Linked DNA regions of Tribolium castaneum. The protein of the gene in region 1 interacts with the protein of each later gene in a pairwise test. Links are inferred from orthologs where the notes say so. Each region holds a gene or a part of one and is shown in the gene's direction. Other genes may lie near its edges.

Evidence for each region.
Region 2: the proteins of Nup50 (region 1) and Pen interact in a two-hybrid assay, tested with the Drosophila melanogaster proteins (2 studies listed by BioGRID). The link is inferred for Tribolium castaneum from reciprocal best matches to the Drosophila melanogaster genes Nup50 and Pen.

Annotation. Positions count from the first base shown.
Region 1 is NC_087402.1:5,415,252-5,418,977, reverse strand, and holds Nup50 (nuclear pore complex protein Nup50), read left to right. Parts: upstream 1-1,619; 5' UTR 1,620-1,833; coding exon 1,834-1,992; intron 1,993-2,046; coding exon 2,047-3,048; 3' UTR 3,049-3,087; downstream 3,088-3,726. Other genes in the region: zinc finger protein ztf-16, read left to right, coding at 36-740; mip130 (protein lin-9 homolog), read right to left, coding at 3,347-3,726.
Region 2 is NC_087397.1:4,706,489-4,710,939, forward strand, and holds Pen (importin subunit alpha-5), read left to right. Parts: upstream 1-1,647; 5' UTR 1,648-1,807; intron 1,808-1,854; exon of another isoform or gene 1,855-1,897; 5' UTR 1,898-1,930; coding exon 1,931-1,984; intron 1,985-2,033; coding exon 2,034-2,398; intron 2,399-2,443; coding exon 2,444-3,014; intron 3,015-3,066; coding exon 3,067-3,249; intron 3,250-3,297; coding exon 3,298-3,480; intron 3,481-3,526; coding exon 3,527-3,673; intron 3,674-3,718; coding exon 3,719-3,814; 3' UTR 3,815-3,933; downstream 3,934-4,451. Other genes in the region: CCT8 (T-complex protein 1 subunit theta), read right to left, coding at 1-902, 1,000-1,059; shtd (anaphase-promoting complex subunit 1), read right to left, coding at 3,976-4,347, 4,395-4,451. UniProt on the Drosophila melanogaster protein: Binds specifically and directly to substrates containing either a simple or bipartite NLS motif. Promotes docking of import substrates to the nuclear envelope. Seems to act as a cytosolic receptor for both simple and bipartite NLS motifs.

The DNA of each region.
Region 1 (3,726 bases):
GCGATTTAGTCCTGTTTCTTAGACAGTTTGTTTAGAACGACCAGCGTTCGAATTTGCCGGGCCAAAGCGGCGAAGTGTCCCAAAGGATAAACGGCGAGTGTCCCGGCTCCCCTCAATCAGCCGACTCCAATTCGAATGCTCCGTCCAGCAGCCATATTCAACCAAATTCCCTTAGAATAGACCAAGAAACGAACATAACGCCCTCAATTTCCCTCATCCCCATAAAACAGGAACCTGGAGACGAGCTGTACGACGTTTCCAAACGAAACGGCCCTAACCCAAGCACCTCTCCCTCGGGAAGCGTACAAATGCAAACAGCGACCTCAAGTAGCCTTAGCTCGTTAATCAAAGTGTCTCCGTTGAAGAGCTTACTTCGTGACGATTTAAAGAGGAAGATCGTCTCGCGGATGAACTCCTCGCCAAGGGGGCGCTCCACCGCGAGTCCCAACCAGAATCCTGAGACTTCGCCCAGTGACACGGCGACCACCACCAATGGGGCTATCACCTCGACGGGGCCCGAACAACCGTCGGACTCCTCCCTGTGGCGGGCGATGGGCAAAAGGTCTTTGTCTAGTTTACAATGTATTTTCTGCGGGATCGGATTTCCAGACCAGACTTTGTACTTTTTGCATAAAGGGTGTCACTCCGACGCGAATCCTTGGAAATGCAATATCTGCGGAGAGCAGTGCTGCAATGTTTACGAGTTTAATTCGCATTTGTTGAGTAAAAGTCATCAGTAGGCTCGATTTACTTAAACTATGACATACTTTGTAAAGTTTAGATTAGTTCAAGTTTCATACAGTTTTACACGGAAAAATTGAGTATGTGATAATTTGTTGTAGAAATTGTTGATGCATTTCTTGTTTTTGAACAAGTTCAGGGTTTTATGGGTACATTTACGAGCATTCCGTTTAGTTTCATTCCCTTTTGGAAATTGTCCAAGTGCCTGCCGGTTGCCTATAAGCAAAATTACCTGAAGATTTGCTCTAAACTCATATCCGTCCATTAGTAAGAAGAGAGGTATATTTACAAGCATGATATTTTCCAAAATATATTGTAAAGCAAGTGCTTAGTCTCTATAGTTGGAGCTTCATTACATTGTTACATAAATTAGAATTAAGTTTTACATTTTATATATACATTCCATTTTAGTGTATTGTTGATTCCATGAGACAGAAACAAAATAGTTTGTACAGTATTTATTGTTATATTTTATGGTAATTTTATTTCGTGCAATATATTTTGCAGTGCCTTAAACAAAATTGCACTCGGACGTTTAAGTTCATTTAAATTTTTTTACGAAGTAAGGATTTTATTTTCGTAGGCAATTATCGTAGTGTAGATAGTAGGGCGACATGTTACATTCCTTCAGTTCATTCAAAAATATAGATATATTTTTTTTTTATTTATACACAAAATGTAAATTACAAATTCTTGTAATTCTGGTGAAAGGGTTAAATAAACTTTATGGAATTTTCGTCTCGCTTCGTTTCAATTACACCAGTCTAAAAACAAACACCGGAAAGAAGTCAAAAAATGAGATTCGTATCCGCTACGACTGGCAAAAAATTCCACCGGAAAAATACCGCCAAATTTTAAGTTCGTAGTCACGTGATTAAATTCCCGCCAATCAGCGTTTGCCTGATACGAGCCGGCACGCATAGTGGTTGTCAATTTTTGTAAATTATTTTACCCAAAAAAGTGCTTAAAACGAATTTTTCCGTCTCACGACATGCAAATCATTAAATAAGCCAATTCTGTGATAGTCTATGTTTTGTGAAATTGTTTGGAAGTGTGTCGGTATCTTAACCTCGCAAATTCGTTTCTCCATTTATGGCTAAAAGAACGGCAACAAGTGATTTAAATCACGATAATTGGGATAGGGAGGACGAACCAGAGACGGCTGGAACGTTTACAAAAGCTTCAGATGAAGCTTTGAAGAACAGAGTTATAAAAGTTGCCCGCAGGAGGAACCCCATATCATCAGTCCAAGTCAGTACGGTTTCTAATGTGTGTTGTTTGATTACGAACAATTTTAATTTTTAGAGTGACGATAGCAAACCCAGCGCATTCGGTGGTTTTTCTGGGTTTGGTAAAACGCCAAGTAGTGCATCCAACACGTTTGGATTTTTGTCAAACTTAAATAAAACCGAGACTAGTAAAACCAACGGAACTACGGAAAAAGAAGCAGAGACTTCCGACAAGAAATTAGACGAATATTATGCCAAATTAAAAGGATTAAATGAAAGTGTCACTGAATGGATAAAAAAACACGTGTCATCAAACCCGTTTATCAACTTACAACCAATTTTCAAAGATTACGATAAATATATCAACGAACTTGAAAAGGCGAAAGGCGAGGCAGCGTCAGAAACATCAACTAGTGCCACAACTGCGCCCCAATTTTCCTTTGGTACAACCTCTACAACCACAACTCCTAAATTTTCATTTGGGGCCACTTCTACCGCATCCACAGGATTTTCATTTGGCTCCAGTACCACAACAGTTAGTTTCACTTCAAGCACTAGCACAGCTACCCTATCAGGAGGCGACAGCTCCTTTAAATCGCAACCGTTTTCGTTTGGTAATTCAGGCTCTGACAGCGGCAAATTTTCATTCACAAGCACTGTCATAAAACTAGCAGATGAGCCAAAGCCCCAAGAGCAAGAAGACGAAGACGAGCCGCCCAAAGTTGAGTTTACGCCAGTGGTAGAAGAGGGACACATTTATTCAATCAGATGCAAGGTTTTTGTGAAGAAGGATGGCACTTTTGGAGACCATGGCGTGGGCACTCTGTACCTCAAGCCAGTCCCAAACGGCGAGAAAGTCCAACTCATCGTGCGCGCTGATACGAATTTAGGAAAATTAATTTGTAATTTCATTTTGTCGGAAAGTATCCCAATGCAAAGGATGGGGAAAAAGGATGTTATGTTAGTTTGTATTCCAAATCCAGACACGCAACCTCCACCCGTGCCGATTTTATTGCGGGTGAAAAGTCCGGAAGATGCCGATGAGTTGTTGAAAACTTTGCAGAAACACAAAAAATAGGCTAGGGGTGATTAGCTCAATAAAATATTTTTCTAAGTAGACGTTTTTTTTTTCAAACCAATTTTGATAAAAATTTGAACAGTTCTAAAATTACATATGGTGCCTCATATATACATTTTTATTAATTACACAAGTAAAATATACACATTCTGTGAAATACCCACAAAAATACAGTAATTATAAATAAAACCCGCGGTAAACAGTAAGATAAAACGAGACGTGTAAATCGAAATTGTGGCCATTATAGTATTGCACAGCATTCTGCTTTAAAAACCTGCATTTTTAAAGAAAAAAAGTATCATAGTTTGGAAATTCCATTTATGGCGAGTTTTTTATCTAAATTTTGCCCGAGACCGACTTGAATGTGTTTCATGTGAATTTCGACGGAGTTCTGGAACACTAGTTGATTACTTGGCGTCAACTTCCTCTTGATTTGTTCCATCGTGCCTTGGAGCACTTGCAATTCGTATGCGTTTTGATCCGAATCGGCCAAACTTTTTACTTGCAACATCAAAGCCGTGAGATCGGTGATGAGTTCCAGAATCGATTTATTCTTAACTGGATCCTTGTCGGCCGAAATGATCGAATTCTGTCTTTGTACAATTTCAGCGGCCTCTTCTCGGCACTTTTCCCTCAAATGGCTTGGCGCCAGCATCGCCGCCACGCTCGGCTCAGGGG
Region 2 (4,451 bases), on another chromosome or scaffold:
ACATCGAATTTCGAGTTAAGCCGCACTGCCATCAGTCCGTACTTGTGGATGTAGTGCAGGGCCATGTCCCCAAACTTGGCCCCGGCCACTATCACCTTAGCCCCAGTGTCGGCAATTGACTTGATCTGTATTTCCAAGAGATTCTCCTCTCCCCTACTAAAATTCATCAACTCATCTGCGGTTTTGATCAAAACGGTTCCCTTGGTCTCAGTTTGCATGATATCGACTGCACAGCTGAAAACAGCAACTTTGGCGTTCTGCACTTTAGTGATTTCGCCCTCGACGTGTCTCTTAAACACCATTCCTTGGACAACTTGCGAGCTTTGCAAACCCGAACCTAGCACCTTGCAAACACGCACATTGTCAACGTTGAATGTGGTGTCCTCGGGCAGGATTGAAACACACGCTTTGGCCACTAAATTAGCCAAAAAGTCCTCGTGTCCGTACTGTTTTGACTGAATCGAGGTTCTAATCCCTTTAACGACCTCATTCAAGTTTCTGTAATCCTTGATTTCGTAACAGACTAGTTTCGGGAGGATTTCGAGACACTTTTCCAGGGCTTTCTCATAGCCCTCGGCCACTTCGGTCGGCGTGACCCCCAGTCTGATCAGCTCTTCCGAGGCCTCCAGAAGGGCCCCAGCCAGGATAATGACAAAGTTTGTGCCATCACCAACCTCGGAATCTTGCATTTGACTCGCGAGAATCATTAATTTGGCCGCGGGATGTTCAATATCCAGTTCTCTAATAATAGTGGCGGCATCACTGGTCACAAACTGCTTCTCAAGGTGGTTTATCACCATCTTGTTCATGCCATTGGGGCCGTAAGCCGAACGCACGGACTGGGCAAATTCCTTGCAAGCGTTAATATTTCGAATGACGGCTTCTTCGAGGCCGGAGTAGTGCTAGAAAATGCGAAATTTGAGAGATTTACGCCGATTTGCCGGCCCTTGTGCCGACCACATGTCACTTCGGGGATCGATTTTGGAAATTAGGACTTACCCGGGCGCCTTCTTTCAACATCTGGGCGAAGCCCGGGGCTTTAGGGACGTGAAGAGCCATTTTTGAGACCGATTTATTTTTTTATAAGCGAAATATTAATAATCGAAAAAGTTTGCACAACAATGGACATGTGAACTTTTGGTGACTAATTTGGTGGGTTCAGCGCCACCAACATGGGCAAGAAATAGAACCAAATGGCACGGCTGCTCATGCATGCGCATTGGTTTACGCTCGCTTTTTAAAATTCGGGATCGGGAAAAAAAACTGTATTTTAACTCCCGGCAATCCATTACAATCCCGGCAGCGTCATCAGCAATTCTCGAGGGTCTAAGCATGCAACTCGCATACGTTCGTTGCATAACGTCAGTCGTCGAGCTTTAAACTTGTGTTTTTGCACTCGTATTATTTATTTATTTTTTAATCCTCTTTAAGTGAAATGTCGAAAAATTAAGGCATTTAATTCACAGAATGGTAATTCTTTGTTCGTGAGTTGGGCCCAATCTTACCTTCGCATTTTAAATTTTCCGAAATTGGATTGGCTATAAATCGGCGCGAAGCACCATCCACTCATATTCAAATAATTCTCCAAATTTGATAATTCTATTGGCCAATTTGGTGGGACTGCTTTTCTATTGGCCAAGTGAAGCTTGCTCGTTATTGGCTGCCCGTCATTAATTGTCAGTGTGACGTTCAGGAACTGCAACGGAAATTTTGACCGTAGAATTTTTGTCGTTTTATTTTTTAATCGGTTGTGGAGACTATTCACTAATAGTTTTAATAGTTTTGGTGCCTAGTTTAAATATAATAGGTGAGTAGATAATCAATGCCCGAATCAGATGAATTAACCTAAAAAAGGCCCTTGAAATATCAAATCAATTTTTTGTTCTTCACCTATCAGTGACCCTGTTGCACGTTTCTAACTTCCAGAAAAATGGGAGACGAGAACAGGATCCGTTCGTTTAAAAACAAGGGAAAAGACTGTGAAGTGAGTATCAATCATGTGCAATTTTGCGATTTTGAGACTTCTCGTGTAGGAAATGCGCCGCCGACGGGCCGGCCAGACCATCGAACTGCGGAAAGCAAAAAAGGAAGACCAGTTGTTGAAGAGGCGCAACATATCGTTGCAAGAAGAGGCCTCAACTCCCCTTCAGGAGAACAACTCCGTGTCGCTGATCACCATGTCTGCCGAAGAAATCTTGATGGGTAATAACCCCACTCCCGACTTGCCCCATTTTAATGACCTGATAACAGGAATGATGAGCCCTGACGAGAACCTCCAGTTTAAGGCCACCCAAGCCTGCCGCAAAATGCTCAGCCGCGAGCGGAACCCCCCAATCGACCACATGATCCGCTTGGGGGTTGTCCCGCGATGCGTCGAGTTCCTGGGCAAGACCCACAAGTAAGCGAGAGCCTAGCCTTGCATCTTATTAATTTTTTTAAACAGCCCATCGCTGGTGTTTGAGGCTTGCTGGGCCCTCACGAACATCGCGTCTGGCACTTCCGAGCAGACCGCAGCCGTGGTCCAGGAGGGCGCCCTTCCTAAGCTCCAACAGCTGCTCTCCTCAAACCGCATCGACGTCGTGGAGCAGGCCATCTGGGCGATTGGTAACATTGCAGGTGATGGGCCCGAGAGCCGCGATTTGGTGCTCAACTACGGCGTTTTGCCCAGTCTTATCAACTTAATCAAACCAAACACTACCTTGTCCTTGTTACGCAATACTGTGTGGGTTATTTCTAATCTTTGCCGCAATAAAAATCCGTACCCCGATTTTGAGTTAGTCAAGCCGGCTTTACCCGTCTTGGCGAGACTTTTGTCGCATGACGATAAGGATGTTTTGGCCGACACGTGCTGGGCTTTGAGTTATTTAACCGATGGTAGCAATGAGAAAATTCAAGCGGTGCTTGACACCGGTTTAATTGACCGCCTAGTTATGCTTTTGTATAGTGAGGAAAGTACCGTCCTAACTCCGGCCTTGAGGGCCGTTGGTAACATTGTGACCGGAAACGACCATCAGGTATAAGGCCACTCAATCAATTGTTAAAAGTATTAATAATTTCGTTTGGTAGACTGATATGGTGATCAATGCCGGGGCTTTAGATTGTATGATCCGTTTATTGCAACACAGTAGACTGAACATTGTCAAAGAAGCTGCCTGGACAGTTTCAAACATTACTGCCGGAAATAGTGAGCAAATCCAAAAAGTCCTAGATGCCGGGATTTTGCCTTATCTTCTTCACGTCCTACAAACCGTATTGTTGCCACGCTTTGTCCGATTTTTCCTAAAACGTGACTTTTAGGGCGACTTTAAATCGCAAAAAGAGGCAGCTTGGGCTGTTACTAATTTCACAAGTGGCGGGAATTCCGCCCAATTGGCGCAACTTGTGGAAATGGGGGCGTTGAAACCCATGTGTAATCTCCTGAATTCCAAAGATAGCAAGACTATTATCGTGGTGTTGGAGGGATTGAATAACATTTTATCGGTGAAAAAAAATTTGTGTTGGAATTTTGTCTAATTGTCGATTTTAGGCCGCTGCCAAGTTAAATCAAGCCGAGAAAGTGGCCATAATGATTGAGGAGTGTGGCGGTTTGGACGGTATTGAGGCCTTGCAAAGTCACGACAATGAGAAAGTCTACGAACGGGCTTTGCACATTATCGAGAATTATTTCGCCGATGTGAGTTATTTTGTGGGTAAATTGTTTTGTAATTTGAGGTTTCAGGGTGAGGAGGGAGTCACTGTTACTGTAGCAAATGGGGAGATTCAGTTCGCTACTCCTAATATGGCCGATCAACAACAATCACCCTTTTCCTTCTAAGTTTCAACCGATGCGTTTAGTTCATTCCTTATTGTGTTAGTGACACGTTTTGTATTTTTATAGTCTGTATTACGATATGTTCCCAGTTTTCGAAATAAAAATTATGTTAAACCTTGAAATTAGTTTTATTTCACATTTATTTATAAAAAATACAGCTTCTTTCACATCCTTAGCCTCATAATTTTCTCTAAGGTACTAACGGAATATTTGTCTTGAAGTTTAAGCATCACTTCTAATGGATCACCTTCTGCACTTTCCCTAAATGGTATATCGTAAAATATCACATACATGGCTAGCCTATTCAAGGTTTCTTTATCAAAAGCCAAGTCGGCGCCCCTTGTATACGCTTCTAAGGCGGGGGCCAAGCCAGGTTCCCAATCTTCTAAAACTTCTAACATTTGTTGCTTTATGGCCAACATTACTTCCGGTTGAATTAAATTACAAGCTAAGGGAGTTGATATTATTTGTGCAAACAGCAACTTGACTTGCCAAAAGTTCAAGGCGTTTGGTAACAATCTCATATCACGAACGACCTGAACATAAAATCATTATTTAATAAATACATGAGTCTTGACATTACCTTTAACAGAAAACTAATAACCGGTATGACAACAAGTTTGTCTTTCACGACAGCGTC